Linked DNA regions of Canis lupus familiaris. The protein of the gene in region 6 interacts with the protein of the main gene of each other region in a pairwise test. Links are inferred from orthologs where the notes say so. Each region holds a gene or a part of one and is shown on either strand. Other genes may lie near its edges. The genes, in order: HMGA1, QKI, BOLL, RNF8, ATXN1L, RBFOX2 and HNRNPF.

Region 1 (4,266 bases), on a different chromosome or scaffold from region 6:
CGCGCCCTCCTGGCTGAACCCGCGCCCGGGGCCGCCGGCGCCTTCCCGCCCCGGCGCCCCCGCCCCCGCCCCCACCCGGCCGAGCACGTGCTGCCCCCGGCCCCGAGCGCCGGCCCGCCGCCCCGGGTGGGGGCTGGGCCCATCCCGCGCTGCTCCCCACCCCCACCGGAAACATTCCTGAAACATTCCTGAAAGTAGGAGGCCCGGCCCCTCCGGCTCCCCACCCCGCCTCCACTGCGGGCGCAGGGTTTTCCTGGCGGCCCCCTCCTTCGCCCGCTCGCCCCCTGAGGAGGGGGCTGGGCTGGGGCCTCGGCCGGCCGGGGAGGAAGGAGGGGAGCAAAGAAAAACATGAGTCACAGCCGTGTGTCACTGGGCCGCATTGCATTTCCCTGCATCACGGGAGGTGTGGAGGGCAGCCGCGGGGACCAGGGGCGGGAGGTGCGCCCGAGGAGGCCCGGACCCGGCCTGCAGGGCGCGCCGCTCTCGACAGCGCCCTTTCTTCTCCCACCGCCCTCCCCGCCATCTTTCGACTTTGGCTTCCTCCTCGTCGGTGCAACAAGTCTCTGTGGCGCCGGGCGGGCCAGGCGTGGCGGGGACGGCTCGCGTCGACCCAGTCCCTGCCCTCAAAGTGCTTCCAGGCGACCGTGGGCTCACGCTTTCTCGTTCTCCTTCGCAGCGGAGAAGGCTAGGGCACCCAGTGGGTAGGCGTATCTCCAAGCACCACGCGAGCCCCCTGGAGGGACGAGTCCACCCTCGGGTTTACCTGCAAGCGAGCCAATCGTTTGCTTCGCTTGGAGGCTGCACCTGGATGACGGCTCACTCGCGGCCATTAATAAGCGAGAACTCGGGATTTCACAAGTTTCACGTTTGGATTTCACAAGACTTGTATTTCACCAGTCAGCCACACGCAGGTTGGCACTGAAATGCACATGCTGACACCTGTCCGCCCAGGGGAATCTGCGAGCCGCGAATCTGGGCGCTGGGGCGGCGGGTAGGCCGCGGAATTCTCCCGGGCGCGTTCCTCCCCGCCCCCGCCCGCCCGCGCGGATCCCGCGGGCACTAACGCCCGCCCACACCCAGCGCGCCCCGCGGGCGCCGGGCCCACGCGCCCGGAAGGTCCCTGGAGGTGATCCTCCCAGGACCGCCCCCCCGCCCCGTTCCAGGCTGTGAGGACGCCCTCCCCTCTCCCCCCGCGGAAAGCTCCTTGGCGTTCCCACTCTATGCACCCTCCCCGGGCTCCCGGCCCGGGACAGTAGAGGGGATCGTGGCCTCGGGTTCCCAGCCCAGGCCTCCCGCGCACCCCTCCCGGGCGTCAGCACCCACCCGCGCGGCGGCGGCGGCTGGCGGGCGGCCGCCCTTTTAAATCCCCGGGCTCATTTGCATGGCCCCGCCCCCCACAGTGACACGGCTGGCGCGGGCGGGCCCGTCCCCCCTGCCCCTGGGTCGCTCTTTTTAAGCTCCCCTGAGCCGGGGCTGCGCTCCTCTAATTGGGACTCCGAGCCCGGGCTATTTCTGGCGCTGGCGCGGCTCCAAGAAGGCGTGAGTTCGCGGCCCCTCCGGTGGCTTCTTTTTTTTTTTATGTATCTATCATTTAATTAAATTATTTATTTATTGAGGCCGCGCACGGGCCGTGCCTAGCTTCCTGCCCCTCGCCATCCTTCGGGGGAGGGCGAATATTTTTGTCCCCCCGCCTGAATGTGACAGATAAATACCCCGCGGGGGCCTGGGCGGCGAGCACGCGGCGGCGGCGGTCTCTGAGCGCCTCTGCTCTCTCTCCCGGTTTCAGATCCGCATTTGCTACCAGCGGCGGCGGCGGCGGAGCCAGGCCGGTCCTCAGCGCCCAGCACCGTCGCTCCCGGCAGCCCGGAGCGCGCACCGCAGGCCGGCGGCCGAGCTCGCGGTGAGTCGTCCCCGGGGCCCGCGGCGGCGGCGGCGGCGGCGGAGGAGGGGGGCGCCCGCGCCCCCGCCCGCACGCCGCCCCTCCTGCGAGCCGCCCGGGGCTGCAGCGCGCGCCTCCGGCTTTATTCCCAGGCCGGGGCTGCGCGAGCCGGCGGCGGGGGAGGGCCGCGCGGCGCGGGGGCGGGCGGCGGGGCCCCGCGGCGCGGGGAGGGCGCCCGCACCCCTTCCCCCGCGCCGCGGGTGCCCTGCGGGGGGCGGGGACCCGGGAAAGGCGCGCGGTGGGGGAGGGGGCGCGCGGCTGCGGCGAGCGCGAGTTGTGCACCCGGCGGAGCCCGGTGCACCTCGCGCGGCCGCCGCTCCCGCTGGAGCCCGAGCCCGAGCCCGAGCCGGGGCCCGGGCTGTGGGGGGTGGGGAGAGGAGCGGGCTGCGGCGAGGCGGGCGAGTGGGGGGCCGGGCGACCCCCGCAGCCCGGGGAAGTTCTAGAAGTGAGGGGGATGGGCGGGAGCCCCGCAATTCAGCTCTGCTCCCGCTCGGCCTTCCTCCTGGTGCCCCCCTACGCAGAGGAGGCCGAACCGCGCGGCCCTGGGTTTGGGGCTTCACCCCGACCCCACCTCTGGCCCGGCCCGCGCCTCTTCAGCCCCCGGGGCCGGGCCTGCCCTCCGCCCCCACAAACAGGTTTCTCTGCTTTGCAGGGCTCTGTTGGAACTAGTCCCTCTGACTCCCCGTTTCAATTTTTTTTTTTTTTTCTGGAGCTTTATTTTGCGGGGAGGGCGCGGAGGGAGGTGGCTTTCTTCCTCTACCCCGCGCCCGCGCGCGCCAGGTTTCCTGCCCCAAGGCGGGCTTGGGTGCCCCCTCTGGCAGGAAGTGGGGCCGGGTGCACCCGCGTGGCGGTGCATGCGGTCGGGGTGCACCAGTTTCCCGCGCCTGCGAGAGCAGCCCGTGCCCCTCCCCCCGCGCGCTCGGGCCCCTAGTTTCGTTGGCTGACCTGCAACGGCCCGGCCCAGACACTTGCAGAGTCACCCTGGGGCCGGGTCTGGAGCAGGGGGCGACAGAGACTTTAATCAGTCTCCAGGAGGGTAAGGAAAGAAAAGTCCCGGGCTAGAGGGGTCGCCGGTAACAACCTCTCTTTCCTCACCAACTTGCTGTGTGACCTTGGGCAACTCCTCAGGCCTCTCTGGGCTACTTTTTTTCCGGAAAACAAGGGAGCCCCATGATGATTTCCTAGGGTTGTGCTCGTAGACTCGTGTGCATTTGTGGAAGACCCATTGCATGCACGGTGTGTGGAGGGGCAAGCTTGAGGCCCAGAAAGGCTCATTACATACAGAAGGATTCAGGTTGGGCCCTAAACATGGCTTCGCCAGCCAGGCTTCTGATATTCAGAAACAGGTGGAAGAAGAGACAAGCCCTACCGAGAGAGGGCTTCAGGCCTTCATTCAGTTCCTGGAGGCCTGGAAGGGGAGGGAGTTGGAGAGTGGATTAAAGGGGTCCCCAGGAGTATGAGGTGGTGGGGGGATCTCCAGATGATGCAGGAACTTTCCCGGAGACCCACCAGGATTCTCAGGCATGCTGGGCCCAGGCTTTCTGGGATTAGGGGCTGGCTTGGCCCAACTGGAACCCCCTCCGTGAGGGGGCCTTCTGCAGACCTCATGTGAGGTCAGTGCTCATTTAGACTGATTAATTTTGATGTTTAGCTTGAAGGGGAACCTGTGGTGTAATATAAGATTCTAATCACTGCCTGTAATTACAGAGCAGGCCAAGCCACTAATGACGGAGCAGGATAAATCACCAACCACCTTGTTTAAAAGGGTCTTCAAGTCTGAAATATTATAAAATAGAATAATTACCAAAGTCTCACCGTCTGGAGAATCGTGATGCTTGAGGATGGGGGCCTCAAGCCCTCCAAAAATCACAAGTTTGCAAAAAAACTTTCTTTTCTCTTGGCTAAGTTAAAATTGGAAATGTGTCTGAAAATCTGAAATAGGTGAAAGAAAAGTCATTTTCGAATATTCTAGTTCTCATTTTGATTGAAGTGAGGACTTTATGTTGACGCATTTAACTATGATCTTGACTATGATGATCATTTAACTATGATCTGGTTTAATCTTTGACATCAGTTTGGAAGAGGGAGTTGGGGTAGATGTCTTCCCATTACCCCATTTTACAGATGGAGGTCTTTTGGAAGTGTAGCTGTGTGGGCCCGCCCTTTCCCAAGGGCAACCAGGGATCTGTTACCAGGGAGGTACAGAGTCCTAGGTCTCCCGGGTCTCCTGTCTCTGCAACTGGAAAGACAAGAGGGGAAATGGGATGGGGGAGGGGAGGACCCTCACTGTGTTTTAAGCCTCTGGAAGAGCCACCCTAATCCGGGGT
Region 2 (4,031 bases), on a different chromosome or scaffold from region 6:
GTGTCGGGGCACGTGACGCCCACCCCGAAAGTCCCCCGTGAAGCAACAGGACGTTAAAAAAAATTCTTTTCTTTGGGGGGGGGGGAGGGTGTGAGAACGGACGACAGTTTTTCTTTCTTTTTCTTTAAACAACAACAAAAAACTATAGTAACGGAGGAGAGAATGAGGCGTGCGGCGGCGAGCGTCCCGCTGGCGAGCCCTCACCCACCGCCACAGCCCGGCCGCGCCCGCCAGACGAGCCGGCCCGGCGGCGGGGAGCGGGGAGCGGGGAGCGGGGAGCGCGGAGCGGCGCGGCCCTCACCCCGCCCCCAGTCCAAAGCACCGCCACCCGCCGCCCCCGCCGCGCCCCGCCGCCCGTCCGCCCGTCCGCCCCGCCGCCGCCCCTCCCTCCGCCCGCCGCGCCGCGCCGCGCCGCGCCGGCGACCCCAGCCCCGGGCCCCTCTCGGGCCGACCACCCGCCGGACGGAGGCGGGAGGCGGCGGCGGCGGCGCCCGGGCCGGGGTCGGCGGCGGGAGGAGGAGCGCGCCGGCCGGGCCCCGCTAACGGCCGCCCTGCGCGGCCCCGCCCGCCGCCCGCCCCCGGCCCTCCCCGCGCCGCCGCCCCTCCCCCCGCGCCGCCGCCGCCGCCGCTGGCAGCGCCGCCTGAACTGAGGCGAACTCCGCCGCCAAGTGAGTGAGGAGGAGGAGGAGGAGGCGAGGAGGAGGAGGAAGAGGAGGAGCGGAGTCAGAGCGCGGCGGCAGCGGCAGAGGCGGCCGCGGCGGGGACCAGCCCAGAGAGACCCCGAGCCCGCGGCAGAAGCGGCGGCGGCGGCTGAGCGGGCGCGACCAGCCGAGCGAGCGGCGGCGGCGGCGGCGGCGGCGGCGGCGGCCCGGCTCCTCCTCGTCCGGCGCCGAGCGGCCCGCGCCCGCACTCGGCCCGCGGAGACCCGCCTCCCGCCCGCCGGCCTCGTGAGGGACGCGCCGAGCCGGCGGCCGAGGAGCGGCGGCGGCGGCGGCGGCGGCGGCGGCGGCGGCGGGCCGGGAGCGCGTCGGGCCGCGGGCGGAAAGTGCCTGCGGGGGCGGGGAGAGCGCGGCGAGCGCGCGGTCCGGCCGCCCCGGCGCCCGGCGCGGGAGCGGAGCGGAGCGGGACGCCGAGTCCCGAGCGGCCGGCGGCCGGGGCTCCCCGCCCCTCCCTCCCTCCCTCCTCGGCGGCGGCGGCGGCGGCGGCGGCGGCGGCGGCGGGCGGAGTGAGCTGCGGAGCCTGGAATATGGTCGGGGAAATGGAAACGAAGGAGAAGCCGAAGCCCACCCCAGATTACCTGATGCAGCTGATGAACGACAAGAAGCTCATGAGCAGCCTGCCCAACTTCTGCGGGATCTTCAACCACCTCGAGCGGCTGCTGGACGAAGGTGAGTCGCCTCGGCAGCCGCTCGCGGCCCCGCGCCCCGGGGCGGCCCATCTCCCCGGGACCCGACGCCCGCCGGCGTGTTGGGAGGGCGGGAAGGTCGCGGCTGGCGGGGACCGTGCGCCCGGGGACCCAGAGGCCCGGGCGGGGCGCATGGAGGCGGCGCCGAGGCCGGGCTCGCGGGGCGCGGCGGGCGGCGGCGGGCGGCGGCGGGCGGGCCGGGGCCGCGGGCTCGGGCGGGACCCGCCGGCGGGACGCTCCCCCTCCCCTCTCCCCCCCCCCCCAGGCCCGCGACCCCGGGCCTCGCGCCGCCGGCCTCGGCGCCCCGGGGAGGCTGCGGGGCGAGCCCCCTCGCGCCCCTGGCTTCCCGCCGCGCCTGCGAGCACCGCGACGGCCCGGAGCGTGGCGGGCCTGGCCGGGAGGAGCCCCGGAGGAGCCCCGGAGGAGCCCCGGAGGAGCCGGCCGCGCCCGGCCCGCGGGCGCCTGAAGGACACCGGCCCCGGGGCGCTCCCCGGGGGGCTCTCCCGGAGGCCGCGCGCGTTCCCACAGTGGAGGGTCCTGGGGCCCGCGGCTGCTGGGGAGTTGGTGCGGCTTGCGAGTACTCGAGGGGAGCAGCGTGGGGCCGGGCCACTGGAGGGAATGTGCCCGAGGAGCCCCAAAGTAGTGCGGACCGAGCCGGAGGCCGGGGCAAGATGACAGCCGAAAGCACTTTTCGTCCTTTTGTTTGGGGAAGCGAGAACTGTTGGGGAGTTTAACTTCACTTTGGGCGCGGGGTGGGGGGGGGGGGTGAGAACGAAATACCGCGAGGACGAGTCTAAACGTCGTCCCGACTCGGAGAGAACTTCGGCGGAGAGCGAACCCAGGACGCCGCTGCCTCGCTCTGTAGGATGGACGTTCCGAAGGACGGGGAGAAGAAGGGGCAAAGTTTGCAGAAAAGCTTTGTTGGCGGAGAGCGGAGGGTTGCGAAGAACGACAAGATTAATGTTGGCCGACTCTGGGATTCCTTTAACAAGTTCTTGCTTAGAGCAGTGCCCTGGACTGCCGAATTCTAGCAGCTCTGCTTTTCTGTGGAAGCCTGGAGAAGACAAAATGACCAACAAAGTCTAATTTGAAAATCGAGTACTCAGGAGGTTTTCTTTTTTCTTTTTTCTTTTTTTTCTTTTCCTGTCTCAGAAGCATCCCTGGAAGACTGATAAACTGTTTTATAGAATTGAACCGTGGATTTTAGATTTTTCATAGGAATTTCGAGATCTTTATAGAACTAGAGAAAAGGAATCTGAAGCTTAGAGAGTTGGAATGTCACTAAAGAACAAAAGACCGGAAATGTCTTCGTGATTAAAGATGGTTAAAGAAGAATCCCGGGATCATTTGTTGTCAAGAAAGTCCTAGAAACAACTTTCAAAGTTCGAGACTGTTAGGTCTTACAGCGTCCTAGCTATTGCTTACGTATGTTAGACCGAACAGCGGTAATCCTCATCGGAATGGGCTTTTTTCCCTTGTTGAAATAGCAAATCTGTTAATTTTATATTGCTCCAGAAAAAACTTGAGCTGTCCCTTTAAGGGGTTCTGCTTTTTCTATTTGTGTTGGCATTTGAAAGATTGTGGAGGCAGAAAACTTTCTGGAATGTCGAAAAAAAAAAAAAAATTGCTGGAACTATTAAATTGAGTATTTCCAAATGTGAGCGCTAAGGGGCGCCAGTTATTTTTTTTTAAACATGAGAAATGTTTGGAGCAAAATGTGTAATATACTCAATAATTTGATCTATATTATATTTTAAATCTGAATCACAGTAGATCATTTTGCGTGTCATTTCGTGTTCATAATACACTTACCGTATTTATAATATATAGTTATAAACTCAGAACACATTACGTAAAATTATGGGAACAATTTTATTGCATTTCAAAAATGATATGTCTTTTCTGCCTTGGTATATTTTGGAAATTTTAAAATTTTAATAGTATTTGTTAAATTTTCTTTATTTAGTACAGTTTAGAAGGAATCTTTCATTGACATTAAAATGAAATGTGTCCTCACAATATTTAGAATTAATTAAAGTTGCATTAGTCTTTTAATTACAATGCTGAGTTCAATCAAATGACATAGGAGTTTATGAAAAAAATTGAAGGTATTTCACTTTATGTGTATCTTATTTAAAAACATAATTTGAATTTCTCTGATTAGTTCTGAAAGACTTCTCACCTGTGCTTTTATGTTGATCTAAAATCTTTAAGTGATCATTTGGAGTTGTTCCTTGTTAAAAAGTTTCTAACGTTGGCTTCAATAATTTGTAATCTTCCAAATCTAGAATTCCACTTAGGTCTTTATCTCTAACAAAGGTTTGTTCATTTCTCTGTGGTTGGAAATAGTAACTATTTGCCTTTTAAAACTTGGGAGACCACTAGCTGAGGATGATACATTCTAAGTAATTTTTTTTTTTTTCTCTTTTAATGTGGTTTACTCCATCTCTTATCTTGGTCTATCTAGAATTTTAGCCTTTCCTCCCCAGGGTAAGTAAAGATTGCTTGTGTCGTAGCTGGGATGTTTAAAATGGACAGCATAATGACTAGGAAGTTTGATTGTTTTTTTATCAGACCAGTACAAACATGCAGGAAGAGGGGCTATTCCTTAGTGTGGAATAAGCTG
Region 3 (3,500 bases), on a different chromosome or scaffold from region 6:
TATTCTCAAGTCTTGTTTTTTTCAGATATATGTTATGAGTCTACCATCTTGCCATTGTACAAAGGCTTATATGTTAATATATATTTATTAAAATCTAAATTAGGCCCCCAACTTAGAATTGTGAACATATATGTACTGAGCTCAGTTCTTTGGTATACAGATTTATACCTATGAGTTACAGGTATATACATTTCTTTTTTTACGAAGTCAGTTCAAATTGACAAGTGCATTTAAAACTTTGACTTTAGAGCTAGATAATGGTGAACTTGAATGTCAGAATGTATTAATTTGTCAGTGCCCTTGACCAAAGACTACCAGGAGCATACCTGTAGTTAAGTAAAGTTGAGTCTATTGAATTGTTGCCACAAGGAAGAGCTATATACCCTGGAGCCTCTCCATAAGAGGGTGTTAGAAAAGAACTCACTATGGGATTTAGGCTTGTATTAAGCTCTTCTTAGCATTTAGGGAAGAAGGGCTTTACTCTGAAATTCATATCGTCAGAAAGTGGGAGTAATTCTAGGTTTGGGTCTGTTAATTCTTATTTAGAAGGTAAGAAAAATAGATTGAGGCCAAACCTGTGATTGATAAAGAAGGAGTAGTAACATATATCAGCCAGGATAGAGGGGTGTTTAGTCATGCTTGTGGTTTGGACAATGCAGGGTTCAGCCATGACCATGGAGTGATCTTGTTTTTATTGTGATCCATCACAATCACAGAGTAACTTTGCCTCGAGTCTGTTAACAAGAGAACACCACAATCTTACTGTGAGTTCCAGGCCAACTCCTAACAACACCAGAACCAAGCCAGTTCCCAGCTGTCTGAGTCTGCTTTTCTCTTTCTCAAACTTCTTTTTTGAGTTTAATGTCCTTAGTATTTATACTATTTAAATAATATATTTAATAAACAATTAACATAAGTATATTTAAATAATATATTTAAGATTTTCTCTGTAGTGGAATAGATTCTATATTTCCCATATTTTTGTTGCTCCAAAGGGTTATTAGTTCTAACTATAATTTTCATATTAGAATAAAATTAAAGTCTAAAATATCACATTTTGCCTAAGTGACTCATCTTTTTGAGAGATACATGTTTTCAGCCTGCATCAAAACTTATACCCAATGCTAAAAATTTAAAAGAATTTTATTTTACAGCAAACATCAAATCAGACGCAAACAGATTCATTATCTCCATCCCCTAATCCTGTGTCACCTGTGCCTTTGAATAACCCAACAAGTGCCCCAAGATATGGAACAGTGATCCCTAATCGCATCTTTGTAGGAGGAATTGACTTTAAGGTACCTATTTATGCATGCAACGTAGTGTATTTTTTGCAATAGAAGTTATTTTATTTCTCAGAAATACTTTGTACAACTACAAAAATATTTACTAATTGCATAATTATTAGTACGTTTCACATTGTCTTACTATAAAAAATCTTTTCAATAACAATGTAGGTTAAATAGAACATATGTAATTGTCCAGTTTCACATACAAGGAAATTGAGGCTCATTGACATATCTGTAGGCTCCTAGCTTATTAGTGACAGTGAAGACTAGAACTTCAGTATTCTGACTCATAGTTTCATATTCTTCACCATACCACATTAATTATACTTTATTACATAGTATTCCAATAGATCAAATAATCATGTTTATAATTTTCAAAAAAGACTCAATATTAAAAAAAACACAAAACTTAGTCCTATGAAATCCTGTTTGTTTATCCCAGCTCTACTCAGTGAGGTACTGAGCTCTACTCTACTCTACTCAGGTTCCTACTGAGTGATCTCCTTAACTTCCATCTTTCACAGATCGCTTTCTGCCACCTAATTTAGAATTTGGTCACCAAAAAAAGGCCTGTAACCTTATCAGAATAAAGCATCTTAACATTAATGTATTTTAATTATGTAATCAGCCATTTCATTCTTTCAGAGAGGCTTAGTTTGTTGTTGTTAGATGTTTTGCAGCACCATTTCAGAGGTGGAAGTAAACACTTAGAGGAAAGGCCTGCATGGCTATTTTAAGTAGAATATCCTTACTTCCAAGTGGATCTATAGGATTTCCAAGCTTCCATTTTATGTACTGGAAATTACAGGGATAGTTATCTTTTTTAATTTAAAAATATCCTTTTGCCATTAGGGTACAAAATTTATTACTATTTCCCTGTCTGTAATCAGTCTTCCAAGATTAGGGTGAAATTACTTTTTTTCTGTTCAAGAGAAATGTTACACTCACTGTATTTGTCAGAATAATGGTTCTTAAGTGTGTGATTGGTTCACTAAAAATAAAAATGATTTCTAATGAAATGTTTATTTTAAAAAAGATTTTGTTTCTATGGAAAATATTCTAGTATTCTTGTTCAGAATTTATATTACAAACAGTATATTTTTAAAATAAATCCTCATTAAATCAAAACATTTGTATGGCTAGGTTATTCTAGGTTACTGAATTCTATCAGCTACATTATGAACTTTGGAGGCCATTGTTAAAAATGCAGTGACAGATTTCAGGTATTTGCTAGGGTTCCCTCCCTAATACTTAGATGTTTTCCAAAACCATAAACAAATGACAACAAGGAAATAGTTTACTGTAGTAACAAGCTGTGTCAAACTTTTTAAAACTTTAAAACTTTTTAGAAGCTTACTGTACATCCTTCTTATAATACTTAATCATCTTGCCTTTCTGTCTCCTTACTTTTCAACTAAGAAGTAGAGCTACAAAACTGAACTAGTGATTCTTCTATCAGAGAATAGTTTGAATTAATTTGTTTTTATTTTATTTTTTAAGATTTTATTTATTCATGAGAGGCACAGAGAGAGAGAGAGGCAGAAACATAGGCAGAGAGAAAAACAGGCTCCATGCAGGGAACCTGATGCAGGACTTGATCCTGGGACTCCAGGATCACGCCCTGAGCCGAAGGCAGGCGCTCAACCGCTGAGCCACTCAGGTGTCCCGAATTAATTTGTTTTTAAATATTTAATAGAAATTCTTATTCTGGCATTGATTCCATTTTAAGTTTATTGAAATAAGAGGTATTTAGTTATTCTGAGATTAACTTAGTATTTGTCAACAGTCAGTTTAGCAGCTTTACATTACCAACTAATAGCTGATGATGTATGTAAGTAGTAAGGGAACAGTGGAACTCAGGAGATTAACTTAGTATTTGTCATCAGTCAGTTTAGCAGCTTTACATTACCAACTAATAGCCGATGATGTAAGTAGTAAGGGAACAGTGGAACTCAGGAGGCATAGCCTCCTGCCATTGGGCATGTCTTTTTCTGAGTATATAAAGAAATTTTTTTTCTAAAGACATTTAAAGTCCCCCATGAAGTAATTATACATGTGCTAGAAAATGAAATAGCAATGAATTTAGTGTGAATACTCTAGGAAAAGATGATATGAGTCTATTGAGAGACTATTTCAATTAAAGCCATCTTTGTAGATATCTTGTACATTATAGTTTAATAATGACTCAGATTTTTATTTTGAATATCATAA
Region 4 (4,285 bases), on a different chromosome or scaffold from region 6:
GTTACTTCGAGAAGATTGCTAAACCTCTCTGTGCCTCTTTTCTCATCAAACTTAAAATAAGAATTATAATTGTAACCACCATCATCATAGTGTTTGTGAGGAGCATATAAGATAAAGTATGTAGGGTGCTTGGCCTAGTACTTGGCCCTTAGTTCTCAATAAATGTTAGCCCTTTACTGTTGTGCTTTGTATGATTCATTTAGTATATGTGTTTTCCCTTGACAGAATATAGGAAAATTGTTAACCAAGTATCGGGAAATGGAAAAGACAAGAGGAGGTGTTATCACAGAGGTACACACTACAGGGAGCAGCTACCACACTATAGTGGAGGATCAAAGAAAAGAAGTTCAGGTGGTGGTGGTGGTGCTATTAATAGCTTTATTGAGGATAATTTACATCTATCATAAAATTTGTCCAATGAAAGTGTATGTAATGCTTCAGTGACTTTTCAGTAAACGTCTACAATTGTGCAATCATCACCACAATCCAGTTTTGGAACATTTCTATCACCTTCCCAAATTCTCTCATGTCCCTTTTCCTTTAGTCCTGGCCCCCGCGCCTAGCCCCAGGCAACTGATTTCCACCTCCATAGATTCTACTGTTAAGTTTTGAAAACTTCAGTAGTAAAAAGAGGGGATCCCTGGGTGGCGCAGCGGTTTGGCGCCTGCCTTTGGCCCAGGGCGCGATCCTGGAGACCCGGGATCGAATCCCACATCGGGCTCCCGGTGCATGGAGCCTGCTTCTCCCTCTGCCTATGTCTCTGCCTCTCTCTCTCTCTATGACTATCATAAATAAATAAGAAAAAAAATTAAAAAAAAAAAAAGAAAACTTCAGTAGTAAAAAGAGGTCATGCAAAACAGATGCTATTTAGGAACAGATTCAAAACATTTTGTGCTCTTTTTAAGTAAGCTCTACACCCAAGGTGGGGCTCGAACTCACAGCCCGAGATCAAGAGTCTCATACCCTACTGACTGAGCCAGCCAGGTGTCATCAGACTTATTTTAAAATTATCACAAGTTTGGACATCTGGGTGGCTCAGTGGTTGAGCATCTGCCTTTGGCTCAGGGCGTGATTCCAGGATCCGGGATGGAGGCCTACGTCGGGCTCCCTGCATGGAGCCTGCTTCTCCCTCTGCCTGTGTCCTTGCCTCTCTCTGTGTGTGTTTCTCATGAATAGATAAATAAAATCTTAAAAATGAATGAATGAATGAATGAATAAATAAAATTGTCAAAAGTTTAAAGTCGTTTAAAAGTTGGTTATAGTTTTAGGTAACGTGGAACTCACCATAAAGCAAAATCAAAAATGAAAAGGGACGTGGGTAAGGTGAGAAGCAGCTCCACCTAGGGGCGGCTTGCGGGGCGACCCCGTCCCACCTGGAGCGGAATCGCAGCACACCTGCGGCCCCCTCTACGCGGCTTCGCTCCGGCGCAGGCGCAGTGACGCCGGTTGGCGGCCGAGGGGGCGGGGCGCGCAGCCCGAGCGAGAGTTCACATCGATCGCGAGCGCGTAGCGATTGCTTCTGTCTGTTGTTTAGTTATGGCGCCGGCGACGAGGCTGAGAGGCGGCGGGAACCCGGGCGGGGGTCTCGCTCTGTGCTGACCGCGACCTGGGGCACACGGGGCTATGGAGGAGCCCGGCTCGTTGGTCACGGGAGACCGCGCCGGTGGCCGGAGGTGGTGCTTGCGGCGGGCCAGGATGAACGCCGAGTGGCTGCTGCTGGAGGACGGAAACGAGGTGAGGGGGAGGGGCCCTGGGGCGGGGGACCGGGTTGGAGGCAGCGGCGCCGGGGCGTCCGGGCGGGAGGGATGAATGGAGCAGGGGAGGTGGGGGCGGGCCGGAGCGGAGACAAGTGAAGGAGGGTCGGGGGTCGGGGGTCGAGGTGCGAGGTGTTTGGGGTCGCCGTGGGGACCGCTCGGGAGGAAAGATGGCCCCTTTGAGAGCGGCCTGCGCCTGCGGGGCGACCTTGGGCGGGAGGCCGGGTTGCGGGGAGGCGCTGGAGGGAGGGGCTGGGCGAGCCGCGGGCGTGGGCGCTGAGCGGACCGGCTGGCTTGGGAGGGGCCTGGGGGGCCCGGGGTTGGGTCGCGCCGAGCCCTGAGGGGCCCAGTGCGCCTCCACCGCGAGTGACCAACAGCCGGGTGTCCGGGTTGGTGGGTGGGGGCAGCGGGAAAGCATGAACTTTCTCGAGTTTAGCTTGAAAAACACTGAGTTTGGGTCATGTCCCTTCAGATGAGCGCACTGTAATGTAAAACTGTCTTCCTTTCCAACCCTTGGGGGAAATCGAAGCTCTAGGAGGATCCACATTATATCCTGTGAGCCTTTTTTTTTTTTTTTAACTAAAACAGTTGATAATTTTATTTTCACATTTCACAATACAAATGAAAATTGCCCTTTTTTTTGGGGGGGGGGGTGTCCCACTACTCCCCTGCAAAAACTATTCTTTGATAGGAAGGGGAAGCAAGTCTTCCTTATCCTGCTGTTAGAAAACACCCAGAGTCACAGCACCAGGATATCCTGGTGAAGTAGAACAAGTAATATAAAATGAATATAAAGAGGTTCCTGTCTCTCCTTATCTGTCTGGTCGCGTCATTCCTGGCGGAGTGGGCACCATCATGGGACGGGCAGGAGGTCTCATCATTGGGGGCCCAGGCATCATTGGCATGTGGCCTCCCATAGGTGGCCTCATTCCAGGAGCAGGTCCCACTGGCATCATCCCAGGAGGAGGAGGGCCCATCATTGGCATCATGGGAGGGCCCCTCATATGGGAGGCTGGCATCATACCAGGGCGAGGAGGTCCCAGGAGACTGGGGAGAGGTGGGATCATTGCCCCTGCAGGAGGAGGAGCAGAGAATGGAGTAGGAGGTACTTTTCCTTGTTGAAATGCTGGGTTGTTTTGTCGATGAGGCTCTGAGCCTGCTCTTCATCCATTTCTGATAGTAGTCTTTCACATTCTCTTTGTGTTTCCTACCACTGCAGTGTGTCTTTCTCACAGATGGAGAGTCATGGGTGAGGTATGTGTCGCAGTAGTCACGATAAAACTTGGGCATGTTGCTCTGCAGGCCATTGGCCACTCCGTCCCCTGTAGTGTTTTCTAATGCAGTCATGAATGCAAAAAAGAAACGAGAGAAGGTGAAGCACGGCTCCAGTTGAGGGCAGTTGGGGTGGTGGTTTAGAGAGGGTGCTAGAAGAGGAGGCAGAGAGAGTTAGAGTGCAATCAGCTTGGAAAGGAGAGCTGGATCAGGGACCACTTGTGGTGGTGACTGGGAACCATTGGGTGTTGGAAATAATTTGTAGGAAAGATAAGTCTTGATCATTGTGTACATTTAGCTAGATTGTTTCTGCAAGCTACATAGTCTCAATTCAGTCTCCCAAATATTTATTATTTATGGTTTTTTTCCTGTGTTATGAGAGGGATAAATAATAGCAACTTTGCTCTCAAAGAATTTATTGCTTGAATGGAGAAAGACACTTTTATACAGTGAAGTATCTGAGAACAGCTATGCAGGCTGTACAATCCAATGCCAAGATCTAGATTATTTAGTACTATCCTAGAACAGTGGTTCCTCCAGTCAGGAGATTCAGGTCCAGCCTTAACTTGCTAGATCAGGAGGTTTTATTTTTATTTTATTTACCTATTTTTTTTGATCAGGAGGTTTTATTTATTTTTTAAAAAGACTTTATTTATTTATTCATGAGAGAGAGAGAGGCAGAGACACAGGCAGAGGGAGAAGCAGGCTCCATGCAGGGAGCCCGATGTGGGACTCGATCCGGGGTCTCCAGGATCACATCCTGAGCCAAAGGCAAGGCTAAACCACTGAGCCACCGGGGCCACCCTGATCAGGAGGTTTTAAAGGGTTACTTTGCTGTGATTTGAAGAACACCAAGAGGACCCCTCTGCCCCAATCTCTTTTTCTCTTCAGGTATCAGTGCCGAAAAGTCTACATTAGGCACACATTCATTTTTTTAAAAAGATTTTATTTATTTGTTTATTTATGTATGAGAGAGAGCGTGCACACATGCACCCCTGCGCAGAGAGAGAATCTTTTTTTTTTTTTTTAAGGTTTTATTTATTTATTCGTGACAGACAGAGAGAGAGAGAGAGAGGGGGGCAGAGACACAGGCAGAGGGAGAAGCAGGCTTCATGCCGGGAGCCCGACGCAGGACTCGATCCCAGGACTTCAGGACCGTACCCTGGGCCAAAGGCAGGCACCAAACCGCTGAGCCACCCGGGGATCCCCCCCTTTTTTAAAAATATTTATTTATTTATTTATTCATGAAGAGACAGAGA
Region 5 (4,264 bases), on a different chromosome or scaffold from region 6:
TATCCCATAAGAAATCTAAACAATACGTCCTTTTTGTTATCTTTTTGGTCACCACCCAATGCTGCTTTCTTCTCCAGAGATAACCAATTTTTTTTCTTTTTAGAAGGAAGGGCAAAGTCTTCCTTTCTTTTTTTTTTTTTTTTAAGATTTTATTTATTTATTCATGAGAGACAGAGAGAGAAGCAGAGACACAGGCAGAGGGAGAAGCAGGCCCCACGCAGGAAGCCGAACGTGTGACTCGATCCAGGGTCTCCAGGATCACACCCTGGGCTGACGGCAGCGCTAAACCGCTGCGGCCACCCGGGCTGCCCCGAGATGACCAATGTCAACTAGTTGTTACATAGCCTTCCATTCCTTTTCTGGTACAGGTACATAATATGTCTTTATATGTGTTACATATGTATTTTTGCATTAAATACATGATATCACACTGTACACACTTAATTATATTTTCACTTAAAATGTTTAGAGAGAGCTCTTTTATCTACATCTTACTCCCACCGTCTCATCTAATTTAAGCTCCTCATTTTGCATACGTGGAAACCTAAGTCTAGAGTAGGAAAACGATTTTCCTAAGGTCAGACAACTACGGGCTAGGGACCAGAGCCCAGCTAATTATTTTCAAAATCAAACAACAAAAAAAAAATCAGTTGTTATTTAGTGAACAAAGTCTGCAAAAACTGAAAGGGGAAAAACCCACTCGGATTCAATCTCTCTAACAGTTAAACTTAATTTTCTCTCTTGTCTGGATGCAGAACTCTTTTACATCGGTGTAACCAAAGCACGAATTCGACTGGGGTTCGCTTTCCCACTTGCTGTTAATCCGATGTCCATGCCATTATGGAGTTAACTAGACCATTGGCAGTGAGTGGTGACCTAAGACTTGACCGAGTTAGCCAAGCCCTCTCTCCACTAACCAAACGGCTTCCACTGTACTGAACCCCTTTCTCTCAACCCTCAAGTTCCCATCACTTGCTTCACCTTCTCCTGGATCCTGGATCCGGTCCATTCTCATCCCCCTCAAAGCCATTTGTCAACGCAAAGCGCTCCCTCATCTCCACCCTGGGTCTCCAGGGGCATCTTCTTACTCCCCTGGACAGGGGTCGCCGGGGGGGCTCCCCGAGGTTCCCAACAGCAGGCTTCACCCGTCAGGCCTCGGAAGCCCAGGAAGGGGGGGTCGCCGTCGGCCACGCCCCGGGGCCCTGTTTGGGAACCCCCAGAATTTACTGGAGTGGAGAGACTGCGGGGGTCACGGTGGGGTCAGGGCGAGAGGGCGAGGCCCGCCTTCTCACGTGACCCTGTTTCCCCCCCTGGGAGGAGTTCGTTTTCCCACCAGAGGGGGCGCTGGGGCCGAGGGGCAAGGGGCTAGGGGCCGCCTCGCTGCCTTCCTGCGTGTTCCTGGGCGTCGCTCTTGGCCTGGGCGGTGACGCTATCTGCCCGCGCCGGGGGCGGGACGCACGTGACGCCATCTCCGGGCGCCCGGCTAGGGGGGCGCTGGGTGTGGGGCGGCTCCGGGGCCGGGGATGGCGGCGGCCGCGGTGGCGGCGGCTCCGGGACGAGCGGGAGGAGCCCAAGGAGCGCCGTGAGATGGGCCGGTGAGTGTCGCGGGAGTGGGGGCTGCCGGGCGGCCTCTCTGAGGCCGAGCGGGCCTGGCTCGGAGCTTAGGAGGAAGTGGCCCCCTGGAGCCATGGCCCCGCCGGACCGGGGCCCGAGAACCGCGGACCCGGAGAGCGAAGGAGGCCGCGCCTGGAGCCCCGCGCGCTTTTCTCCGGCCCGGCCCGGAAGGCGGCCCCAGGCCCCGGCGCCCCCGCGGCCGTGTCCCCGCGGGCCGGGGTGTCCGAGGCTTCGGGGCGAGAAGGGGCCCCCAAACAAGGAAGCATCCCCTGCGGGGCCTTGCCGCTGCTCCTCGGCTTCAGGGATCGCGCCCCCCCGCACCCCTAAGCGTTAAATTCCCAGTTTGGGGCCCTTCCCTCGTCGAAGCAAGGATTGCAGGATCACGGGAAGCCATCACCCGTACGTAGTCTCTCCCGAGCTCCACTCTCTGGCGGGCGCACCTCTCGCCCTCACCGAATTTCGGGTTCCGTCTCTTGCTTGTGGGCTCTGACTGGCAGCATTGGCAGCTCTCCGGAACAGACCCCCGGCCCCGTTAGCTCGGTGGGGTCCCAGGCTACGTCTCTCCCCACCCACAAGTGCTCTTTGAGCCCCCCACCCCTGAGGAAGAGGTTTCAGATTCCGAAATTGTTTGGCGTTGTTGGAACCTGATTGCACAGGCTTGGCTCTTTGTTGTCATTCGCTCAGACCTTTTGAGCGAATCTTTTATTTATTTTATTAGGTCGTGTTTGGAGAACCCAGAGGCAGGTTTTGCTTAAGGTTTTAGTTGGCAGGAAGCAAATGTAATTCAGAGATTGGAGATGTGACCCCAATTTCTGTTGCGAATGAGGGAGAAAGCTAATTGCCTCTCAGTTAACCGGGGCTGCTACCGAAGAAGGGATGCAAGAGTCGTGCCCACTGTGTAATTTGTTTACAAAACTGAGGATTTTTCCTTCCCCTCGTTTTCCTATCTCATCACCTTTTCTTGTACATACACCTTGCCAATCTTAAGAGATAAATGTTGCTTCGGTCTGGTTAAAGGCTTGCCATTCTGTAGGACTTGGATAGGGCAGTGGATAGTTTCTCAGTGCTGGTCAATACTGCTTTATCTGGCGTCCGAGATTAACGCTTTTCTCTGGTCCTTGATGTTACCGGCATGTGTAGATTCAGATATTGATAGTTTAGCGTGAGTTTTGTTTCCTCATTGTTAATAAGCTACATTAGGACCCAGGCAGTGTTTTCATTTTCTGTCACACCTGATTCAGCACTTGGTACGAAGTTGTCACTCAGAAATTTTTACATACACATACAAGATTCGTTTTTGTTTTTTTTTTTTTTTACTCTGAAAATCTGTTAATAAGGCTTCCCCTTGAATGACTCCCCCTTGACCTCTTTTTCTGCCCCAGAAACATAAATAATTGTTCTTTTTCCTCTAGTGCCACTTTTCTCATTTAAATAACCTCCACATCTGTGTTTTCATCAGCCCTGAATAATAGTGAAATCCATGGAGTTGATTTTTCCAGCTTGCCATTGTTCACATGGGAATAATGTTGAATCTTCCATTTTTAGTTGTGCATTTACCTGGAAATTGGGATTGGAAGTCAATTTAACCTTTGGGGAATAAAGTACAGGGAGAGAGTGAAGAATGTGATGTTAAGGAAAACAATGAAATTTGACATACATTGAACATTTTTTTCAGGGATGTCTTTCTATATATTTAAAGCTATTTCCTCTATTCAAATGTCTAGACACTCTGCATAAATGTGCTGTTACCTCTGGAGCAGAGGATGAGGCAGGGACTTATGGACTTTAATGTTTTTGTAGCTTTAGAATTACCTTTCTTGATGACCCTGGGGAAAAGGAGAGGCTAGGCTCCTGCTTACTTTATTCCTGTTTCTGTCTTCTAGGCTCCCAAGGCAGCGGGGAGGACACTGCTTCTTACTACAGCTGCTCAGAGGCACCACTGGAAGCTCAGGTAAAAAAGGGAAATTTGGATACCTTGTTGCAGAAAAATACATCTGGGATTCAACAATGGAAAAACAGAACAGAGTGTAATATCCAGATCCAAAGATCTGGAGCCTTGTTTGGAAGAAATAGGTGACAAAGTTCATATGCATTGAAATGTACAGACTGAAAGAATATTTTATGACAGTGGATAAAAGCATGTATGAAAGGTAACAATAAGAGAAAGGGGAGAGAGAACTTTCTTATGGATCATAGAGACCTAGACATGTTTGAAGGAATAGAACCAGAATTTAGGAAGTGTTGCCTAGAGTAGACCTAGGGCAGTGGAAAAGGAGCCATTGGCAAAAGAAAACACACAGGAAAAAAGAAAGAGAATGGATGAAGAAAGTACATTGAAGATAGTCAACGAGAAGAAAAGCAATCTTTCTAAACTGGGGGGGGGGGGGGGGGGGGGGGGGGGGGGGGGGGAGTCTTTGTGTGTGGCCAGAGAGTTTTGTTGCTCTTTAGGGAGGAGGAGAAACAACTACATTATAGAACACAGAAGTGCAATCACTTTCCTCGTGGGGGAAATGTAGTATTTCCTGGGGCAGAGAAGATGCTATTTTTCACTGGCATCCCGGTCTTTGAGGTAGTAGTGATATGAGGCAAAGGAGGATGAGAGTTTAACTAGGCCTGGGATGGGGGGATGGGAAAGGTGAGATCATAACCC
Region 6 (4,022 bases):
TGTGGACACCTGGTGCGAACTGTAAAGCTCTCTCTCTTTAAAGACTTTTATTTATTTATTCATGAGAGACACACAGAGAGGGAGAGAGAAAGAGAGAGGCAGAGACACAGGCAGCGGGAGAAGCGGGCTTGCTACGGAGAGCCCGAGGCAGGACTCGATCTTGGGATCCGGGGTCACGCCCTGCGCCGAAGGCAGGCGCTCACCCGCTGAGCCACCCCGGCGTCGCTGTAAAGCTCTTACGGGCACCGGGTGTTATTACGATGACCAGAAAGCGATAACAGTAATTCTTAAAGTGTTTCAGAACCGCAGAGAGCCCTGGAGCGGTGGCTTCATTCCTGGACCTTCCGAGTCGAGATCCCTTTCTTCAGCGAGCCCTCCTCCTCCACGCAGCGCCTCCTTCCCGGCCCGAAACCAAGGCGGCTACCTGGGCGGACTCAGGTCACCGCTCCGCACCGCCCGCCCTCCCGGGCGCTCGGCCCCTCAAGCCCCGCCCCCCGGGCCGTGGCCCCGCCCCCGGCGCAGGCCCCGCCCCCCCCGCGCGGGCCGGCACGCCCGCGGCACGGCGCCTCCAGGACTGGCCGTCGCCCGGGCCGGAGATTCCCGAGCTCCCCCGATCTCCTCCCGGCCTCCCTCGGACGCCCGGAGCGGAGGCGGCGGAGATTGCCGAGGGGCGCTGGCCCCGCCCCCGCCGCCGCCGCCGCCGCCGCCGCTGCCGCCGGCGCCCCCGCCCCGCCACGGCCTCCCGCGCGGGCTGCAGTCCCAGCGCTCGGTCCCTCCCTCCTCCTTTCTCTGCGCCCGCCTTCCCGGGGCTGCCACAGTGGCGGGTCGGCGGCTCCCGGCCAGTCAGCTCGTCCCGGCCCGGCGGGTGGCGAGGGGCGGTGTGAAGGAGCGGGCGCGGGCCGGCGGGCGAGCTCCGTGAGTGCGAGAGGCGGGGCGCGGGGGGCCGGGCCGGGCCGGGCCGGGCCGGGCCGGGGGCGCGTGTGCGAGCGCGGAGCCCCGAGCGCGGAGCCGCGAGCGCCGAGCCGCGAGCCGCCGAGCGCCGAGCGCCGAGCGCCGAGCCCCGAGCCCCGAGCCGCCGAGCCCCGCGCCGCCAGCCGCCGAGGGGCGCCGGGCCCGCGCGCACGCACACGCACGCACGCGGGGGCGGGGAGGCGCGCGCCCGCCTGTCGCGACAGTCGGGGCCGAGGCCCAGGGGGAGGTGGCCTGTCGCGGGTCGCCCGGCTCCCGGAGGCGAGGGGGGCGCGGGCGGATGGCGGAAGGCGCCCAGCCGCAGCAGCCGCCGCAGCTCGGGCCCGGCGCCGCTGCCCGGGGGATGAAGCGGGAGTCGGAGCTGGAGCTGCCGGTGCCCGGAGGGGGAGGAGACGGAGCCGAGCCCGGCCTGAGCAAGCGGCCGCGCACCGAGGAGGCGGCGGCCGACGGCGGCGGCGGCGGGATGCAGGTGACCGCGCGGGACGGCGCCCCGGGACGGCGGGGCCGGGACGGCGGGGCGCGGGGGGCCGCGTGGAGGTGGGAGGCGGCCGGCGGGGCCTGCGGCGGCGGGGCGGGGCGGGGCGGGGGTGCGGGGGGTGCGGGGCCCGGCGGCCGAGCGGGTTCTGGCGGGGATCGAGGCGGGTTCCATGTCTCGGCCCCTTCCCGGGCTCCTCGGGCTGCAGTGGGAGCCGGGGGTCCTGGCTCAGTTGCCCAGGGGGCCGCCGCGGGGCGTCGAGGGCCGGGCAGCCTCCCGACAAGTAGCTCTCGGGCAGCGCTCGGCGCACGCGGGCCGGGGCCGGGGCCGGGGCCGGGGCCGGGGCCGGGGCAGGGCCGCGGAGGCGACCAGGCTCCTCGAGGGCCCGGGGATGCGGCTCAGCTCGTGGGCGGCGAGAGGCGCGGGCAGCCGGGCGGTGGGTGGGCACCGTGCCGCCGGGGTCCGCAGCCCCGAGCCGAGCGCGCCCGCCTCGCCCCGCCTCGCCCCGCCCCGCCTCGCCCCGCCTCGCCACGCCAGTCGCTTCCTGCGCGGGCGAGGACCCCCGGCCGCTGCCCAACGTCCCGGGGCGCCGGACAAGACTCCTAGGGCCGTTGGGAGACCGGGTTCGGAGTTGTGGACTCAAGGACAAGCTGGCTGATCGCGGAGGGAGCGGGAAACGTAGTGGTGTCAGTTGACTCCGTAGTTCCAGCAAGAGCTGAAGCCTTCGGACCTTTTAGGATCTGGTCTCTGTTCTGAATACACTCGCTGTGAAATGGTGGAGCTCACCTACCCGTTGTTTACACATCTGCCTAATTCTCTTAGAATCATAGAATGTTAGAGATGGAAGGGACCAGAGACATCATCTTTTCCAGAAGTTCTTGACCTGGATGGGCTCGGAAGACTCTTAGGCAGAACAGTTTACGTGCACTTTTTGGTGTGTGCGGGGGAAGTCAATAGTTTTCCTCTTTGTGTGTTTTTTTTTTTTTTTTTGGGGGGGGGGGAGTGTCCAAGCCTCAAAATGTTTTAGCCACCACATTTTGTAGATGGGGAGTCAGAGGTCCAGAGAAGACTAGTGACTTGCCTAAGGCCACCCAGTTAGCTTGTAGCAAAACTAGAACTAGAAGCCTCCTCTTCTAATTCCTATTCCTGTGCTCTCTCCATTACACCACTCTTGGAAATCCCTGCAGTGCTAAAAGACTTCCTGTGCTCTGCTCCCTGCTTTTCAAGGCTCTGCCTGACTTCCTGTGTTAGAGACCGAGCTGTATTTGAGCCTGGCATGTTTGCTGTGTGCTTACGGGTCTCCTCTGCAGAGGCCGCTCAGTTACTTGTGTTGATTTGGATAAAGTGACCCTCTTGCTGTTTGTTTTTGAATTCTTTTGTTTTGTTTGCCTGCTTTTGTTCTCCATCAGAACTGTGTCAGGCAGAGGGATTGTGAGAAGTAAAAGCTCAGGGCCATGGAAAAAATATCAAGGAACGTGGGGAGACTTCAGGTGAGGTGGATTAACGTGAGCTCATCAGAAGGGGTGACTGGATGTGGGTGCTGGTGAGCACCGCCTCCGCTTGGTGTGTGCCTACATTCGTGTGGGTCTGTATTCATTCATTGTTTCTGTCAATCACTGTTAACTCTAAGGCTCCCCCCTCCCTTTCCTCTCCTTTCCCCGTGGGGCCCATTATTTGCTGGTTGGCTTCAAACTGGCTAAGGATAGTAGTATCTGGAAATGGAGCATCACATAGGGACTTTGGAGTATGCAGAGGAAGGAGTTGGATTAGACTCTTTGGGTACAAATGGGCAACTTAGAACTATCACACAGAGAATCTTTTTTTCACTCTGTGCATTTGTGGATCTTTATTTTTCAGGTCATGCATTATCATTGCTGTAGTTCTGACACACCATGTCACACAGGTGTTCAGATCATCATTAATCTAGCCCTCTGCCTTCAACTAGCTGTACACTTCGGGAAAATCCCTGCTTTTTTTTGGGGGGGGGGGCTCTGTGTCCTTAGTTGTAAAAGAAAAGGCTTGTACATGATGATTTCTAAATTATCTCTTAAAAAAAAAAAAAGGGCATCAGATTCCTTGACCTGAAGGTGTACTTGGTGTTTCTAGTCTGGGTGGAGAAGACAAAACTGGGTGACAAAAAAAAAAAGAGTGCACGTGTGTGGGTGTATGTGTGGTTTTGTGTGTATGTGTGTAAGTTTCAGAGGAACAGGAGCAGAGATACCCTAGAGTGGATGCATGTTACAAGTCATTGCATAATTTAGAGCCAAAGTATGCAGAGGATTTGTGCTAGATGAAGGGGAAGGTCATTCCTGCTGAAATGGTCAAGGGAGGCTTTATGGGAAGGCTGAAATTTGAGGTATAATCTGAGTAAAGGAGAAGTAATGTTCCTGAAAAGATAGAATCTAACACTCAGTGACCCACACTTGTAGCACTTTGCTATATCATTGTGATAATAATAATAATTATTATTATTTATTTATTTATTTTTAAAAATTTTTTTATTTATTTATGACAGTCACAGAGAGAGAGAGAGAGAGAGAGAGAGGCAGAGACACAGGCAGAGAGAGAAGCAGGCTCC
Region 7 (4,143 bases), on a different chromosome or scaffold from region 6:
TGCCTAGAAAAGAATTCACCCAAGCTCAGTGATTCCCAGCAGTTGAATGTGGAGGAAGGACTCAAAGGAAACAGCTAGGAGAACCAATCAAAATTAATAGGAAAACCAGAAGGTTGCATCTTCTTTAAGAGGGAGAAAGGATTTCCAGGGGGAGTGGTTAAATTCTGCTGTGGGAACAAGTAAAATGGTATATAATGGCATTAGTTCCGAATGGACATTCTTAATTACTAAGAAGGTGGTCTTCAGTGAAAAGACTGAAGAGAAGTTTCTCTTGGCACCTGGATAGCTTGGTTATTTAAGTGTCCAACTCTTGATCTCAGCTCAGGTCTTGATCATGCAGGGTTGTGAGCTCAAGCCCCACGTTAGGCTTCACGCTAGGTGTGGAGCCTTAAAAGTTTTTTCTAGGGTGAGTGGAGTTGGGACCAGAGCAGGATTGTGATCCTGCTAATGATATCAGCTAACAAGAGAAGCAACTGCTTGTTTATAAATTCCTAGACTTTGTGGCATGTGGCAGTTCCTTCACGTAGTCGCTGTTCTTTGAATCAGCTGCAGATGGGGGGAATGAGAAAAGGTGAGGTTGCCACAGACAGCTCAGGGCTTTGGGCAAGTGTGTGTGTGTGTGTGTGTGTGTGTGTGTGTGTGTGTGTGGTAGAACTGTAGGCAGTATTGAGGGCCCACTTTAAGGTTGGTGATCCTGATTCTACAGTAGTCATTCTCAGCTGGGAGTAGGTTTTACCCTCAGGGAACATTTGGAAATATCTGGAAATCTGTGGGGTTGTCACACCTGGGGGGAGGGTATTGCTACTGGCAGCTTGTAGGCAGAGGCAAGGGATGTTGCCTTCCAGCCTATAGTGCACAGGCCTATTCCCTACAACAAAGAACTGTCTGGTCCACAATGTGAACCATTTGGCCTGGCTATGTGACACTGAGCTACCTGGTACAGCCAGGAAATAGATAACTTAAACTTCCTGAGCTGTTTTACTTCACACGTACAAAAGAGGAGGAAGAGCATATGAAATCTGTTATAGGGGGATGGGGCCAAAGTCATTACAAAATCATCCTTTTGCACGTTGGCAGTTTTAAAAAAAATGATTAAGTGCTGCATAGTGACTTCATCAAATACTGAAATTACTGTAATTTATTAAAATTATGAGCCAAGGGACACCTGGGTGGCTCAGTCAGTTAAACATCTGCCTTGAGCTCAGGTTGTGATCCCAGAGCCCTGGGATTGATAACCAATATCAGTCTCCTGGTCAGCGTGGAGCCTGCTGCTCCATCTGCCATTCCCCTGCTTATATTATTACAAATTTGCTCTGTCTTTTCTCTAGTAACAAGAAAATACCCTTTTACTTGAGTGTCATAATCTCACTTTCCTCCAGTTCTGAGAAGTTCTCTATTTCTAAATATTGGCTTATTTCATTCTTTTGTCTTCCCTTTAGAACTTAAAATAACTGACCATTAGAATTGATAGGCTGTGGCTTACTGACAGAGGCTTCTAGATCACTATTGTATTTTTTTTTTTTTTTTTTAGATTCCTAATTCTTTTTCAGTCTGTAATATGTACATTTTAGGGGAGACCTGGGATTGAATCTGAGTTCAAATGTATTGGGTGTATTTCTTAACATTTTATTTTTTCATCTGTAAAATCAGAAAAATAAGATTTACTGCATATTCTTGTACATAATAAATGAAAAATTATGTAAAGTTTTTGCTTTCTTTTCAGCCACAAAAAACTGCACCCAAGCTTGTTTGACGTCTGTCCTCTCAAGTGTCCATGATGCTGGGCCCCGAGGGAGGTGAAGGCTTTGTGGTCAAGCTCCGTGGCCTGCCCTGGTCCTGCTCTGTTGAGGATGTGCAGAATTTCCTTTCTGACTGCACAATTCATGATGGGGCTGCAGGCGTTCATTTCATCTACACTAGAGAAGGCAGGCAGAGTGGTGAGGCTTTTGTTGAACTTGAATCAGAAGATGATGTAAAAATGGCCCTTAAAAAAGACAGGGAAAGCATGGGACACCGGTACATTGAGGTGTTCAAGTCCCACAGAACCGAGATGGATTGGGTGTTGAAGCACAGTGGTCCAAACAGTGCCGACACCGCCAATGATGGCTTCGTGCGGCTTCGAGGACTCCCATTTGGATGCACCAAGGAAGAAATCGTTCAGTTCTTCTCAGGGTTGGAAATTGTGCCAAACGGGATCACACTGCCTGTGGACCCCGAGGGCAAGATTACAGGGGAAGCCTTTGTGCAGTTTGCCTCCCAGGAGTTAGCTGAGAAGGCCCTCGGGAAGCACAAGGAGAGAATAGGGCACAGATATATTGAAGTGTTTAAGAGCAGTCAGGAAGAAGTTAGGTCATACTCAGATCCTCCTCTGAAGTTCATGTCTGTACAGCGGCCGGGGCCCTATGACCGCCCTGGCACAGCCAGGAGGTATATTGGCATTGTCAAGCAAGCAGGCCTGGAGAGGATGAGGTCTGGTGCTTATAGTGCAGGCTATGGGGGCTATGAGGAGTACAGTGGCCTCAGCGATGGCTACGGCTTCACCACTGATCTGTTCGGGAGAGACCTCAGCTACTGTCTCTCGGGCATGTATGACCACAGATATGGAGATGGCGAGTTCACCGTCCAGAGCACCACTGGACACTGTGTCCACATGAGAGGGCTGCCGTACAAAGCTACCGAGAACGACATTTACAACTTCTTCTCTCCACTCAACCCTGTGAGAGTCCATATTGAGATTGGCCCTGATGGAAGAGTGACGGGTGAAGCTGATGTTGAGTTTGCCACTCACGAAGAAGCTGTGGCAGCTATGTCCAAAGACCGGGCCAACATGCAACACAGATACATAGAACTTTTCCTGAATTCCACAACTGGGGCCAGCAATGGGGCATATAGCAGCCAGATGATGCAAGGCATGGGAGTGTCAGCCCAGTCGACTTACAGTGGCCTCGAGAGCCAGTCTGTGAGTGGCTGTTACGGGGCTGGCTATGGAGGCCAGAACAGCATGGGTGGATATGACTAGTTTTGTAGGAGCATTTGAGTTATTGCAATCAAATTTTCACAGGCAGCCAACAAGCAGTGAAAAGCAATTATTACTCTAGAGGAAGCTGTGGGACCCATTTTGCACCATGAGTTTGTGAAATCTGGATTAAAAAATTACCTCTTCAGTGTTTTCTCATGCAAACTTTCTTCTAGCATGTGATATTGAGTAAACTAAAACTATTTTCAGCTTTTCTCAATTAACATTTTGGGTAGTGTACTTCAGAGTGATGTTATCTGAGTTAAAGTAGTTTTAAGTACATTAAATGGATCTTTTACACCACATCACCGTGAACACATTGGGGAGACGTGCTTTTTTGGAAAACTCAAGGTGCTAGATCCCTGATTCAAAGAGGAACATTTCTCCTGTTTGTTCATTCTAGTTTATTTTCATTTAAAATCTTTTTAGGTTAAGTTTAAGCTTTTAAAAAATAAGTTAGTTTTGAAAATTGAGACACATTACTAATACTGTAGGAATTGGTGAGGCCTTGACTTAAAACTTTCTTTGTACTGTGATTTCCTTTTGGGTGTATTTTGCTAAGTGAAACTTGTTAAATTTTTTTGTTAACTAAATTTTTTTCTTAAAATAAAGATTTTTTCACAATGACTGGCACCGACTATATACTCACCAAAAAGCAAAATGGGTGGTTGAAGAGAATTTGTTTTAATACTGCTGTATTTCAGTGTGAATTTCAAAACTAATTTAGCACATGGAATCTAAGATTTCCCTTATTCCTATACCAAGGCTAAATTAAAAGTTTGATTTTTAAAAATGTTAAACATGAGCGGTAGAAATGGTGACTGGAAACACGGGAGTATGAAAATAGAAGCAGCACGCAGGCCTAGCCTCCTTTGAGACTGGACTGCTCAGCTGTAATGTCCCGCTCTTCTCTTATACTGGAGTCACATTCATTTCTCATAGCTAAAGACCCTTAATTTTGGGTGCCACATACTTTGGCAGTCTTTTAATCACAACCACATTTTGTTTCAGGGTGGTTTTTTTTTTTTTTTATATGAAGTTACTGATTTGAACATTTTTTTTCCATGCTAGCTCTAATAATCCTGGGTTAGAAATCACAGGTTATTACTGAATACACATAAATCTTG

The links.
Region 1: the proteins of RBFOX2 (region 6) and HMGA1 interact in a two-hybrid assay, tested with the Homo sapiens proteins (2 studies listed by BioGRID and IntAct, with this or other methods). The link is inferred for Canis lupus familiaris from reciprocal best matches to the Homo sapiens genes RBFOX2 and HMGA1.
Region 2: the proteins of RBFOX2 (region 6) and QKI interact in binary tests that used the Homo sapiens proteins (3 or more experiments, as listed by UniProt). The link is inferred for Canis lupus familiaris from reciprocal best matches to the Homo sapiens genes RBFOX2 and QKI.
Region 3: the proteins of RBFOX2 (region 6) and BOLL interact in binary tests that used the Homo sapiens proteins (3 or more experiments, as listed by UniProt). The two-hybrid records come from large-scale screens. The link is inferred for Canis lupus familiaris from reciprocal best matches to the Homo sapiens genes RBFOX2 and BOLL.
Region 4: the proteins of RBFOX2 (region 6) and RNF8 interact in binary tests that used the Homo sapiens proteins (3 or more experiments, as listed by UniProt). The two-hybrid records come from large-scale screens. The link is inferred for Canis lupus familiaris from reciprocal best matches to the Homo sapiens genes RBFOX2 and RNF8.
Region 5: the proteins of RBFOX2 (region 6) and ATXN1L interact in binary tests that used the Homo sapiens proteins (3 or more experiments, as listed by UniProt). The link is inferred for Canis lupus familiaris from reciprocal best matches to the Homo sapiens genes RBFOX2 and ATXN1L.
Region 7: the proteins of RBFOX2 (region 6) and HNRNPF interact in binary tests that used the Homo sapiens proteins (3 or more experiments, as listed by UniProt). The link is inferred for Canis lupus familiaris from reciprocal best matches to the Homo sapiens genes RBFOX2 and HNRNPF.

The regions. Positions count from the first base shown.
Region 1 is NC_049233.1:3,706,047-3,710,312, forward strand, and holds the start of HMGA1 (high mobility group protein HMG-I/HMG-Y), read left to right. Parts: upstream 1-1,466; 5' UTR 1,467-1,539; intron 1,540-1,786; 5' UTR 1,787-1,900; intron 1,901-4,266. UniProt on the Homo sapiens protein: HMG-I/Y bind preferentially to the minor groove of A+T rich regions in double-stranded DNA. It is suggested that these proteins could function in nucleosome phasing and in the 3'-end processing of mRNA transcripts.
Region 2 is NC_049222.1:52,355,125-52,359,155, forward strand, and holds the start of QKI (protein quaking), read left to right. Parts: upstream 1-1,231; 5' UTR 1,232-1,246; coding exon 1,247-1,388; intron 1,389-4,031. UniProt on the Homo sapiens protein: RNA reader protein, which recognizes and binds specific RNAs, thereby regulating RNA metabolic processes, such as pre-mRNA splicing, circular RNA (circRNA) formation, mRNA export, mRNA stability and/or translation.
Region 3 is NC_049258.1:7,090,215-7,093,714, reverse strand, and holds part of BOLL (protein boule-like), read left to right. Parts: intron 1-1,154; coding exon 1,155-1,298; intron 1,299-3,500. UniProt on the Homo sapiens protein: Probable RNA-binding protein, which may be required during spermatogenesis. May act by binding to the 3'-UTR of mRNAs and regulating their translation.
Region 4 is NC_049233.1:6,561,117-6,565,401, forward strand, and holds the start of RNF8 (E3 ubiquitin-protein ligase RNF8), read left to right. Parts: upstream 1-1,485; 5' UTR 1,486-1,623; coding exon 1,624-1,734; intron 1,735-2,393; exon of another isoform or gene 2,394-3,167; intron 3,168-4,285. UniProt on the Homo sapiens protein: E3 ubiquitin-protein ligase that plays a key role in DNA damage signaling via 2 distinct roles: by mediating the 'Lys-63'-linked ubiquitination of histones H2A and H2AX and promoting the recruitment of DNA repair proteins at double-strand breaks (DSBs) sites, and by catalyzing 'Lys-48'-linked ubiquitination to remove target proteins from DNA damage sites.
Region 5 is NC_049226.1:78,196,411-78,200,674, forward strand, and holds the start of ATXN1L (ataxin-1-like), read left to right. Parts: upstream 1-1,464; 5' UTR 1,465-1,595; intron 1,596-3,497; 5' UTR 3,498-3,565; intron 3,566-4,264. UniProt on the Homo sapiens protein: Chromatin-binding factor that repress Notch signaling in the absence of Notch intracellular domain by acting as a CBF1 corepressor. Binds to the HEY promoter and might assist, along with NCOR2, RBPJ-mediated repression.
Region 6 is NC_049231.1:29,219,398-29,223,419, forward strand, and holds the start of RBFOX2 (RNA binding protein fox-1 homolog 2), read left to right. Parts: upstream 1-1,222; 5' UTR 1,223-1,249; coding exon 1,250-1,438; intron 1,439-4,022. UniProt on the Homo sapiens protein: RNA-binding protein that regulates alternative splicing events by binding to 5'-UGCAUGU-3' elements. Prevents binding of U2AF2 to the 3'-splice site.
Region 7 is NC_049249.1:3,821,685-3,825,827, forward strand, and holds the end of HNRNPF (heterogeneous nuclear ribonucleoprotein F), read left to right. Parts: intron 1-1,723; 5' UTR 1,724-1,774; coding exon 1,775-3,019; 3' UTR 3,020-3,643; downstream 3,644-4,143.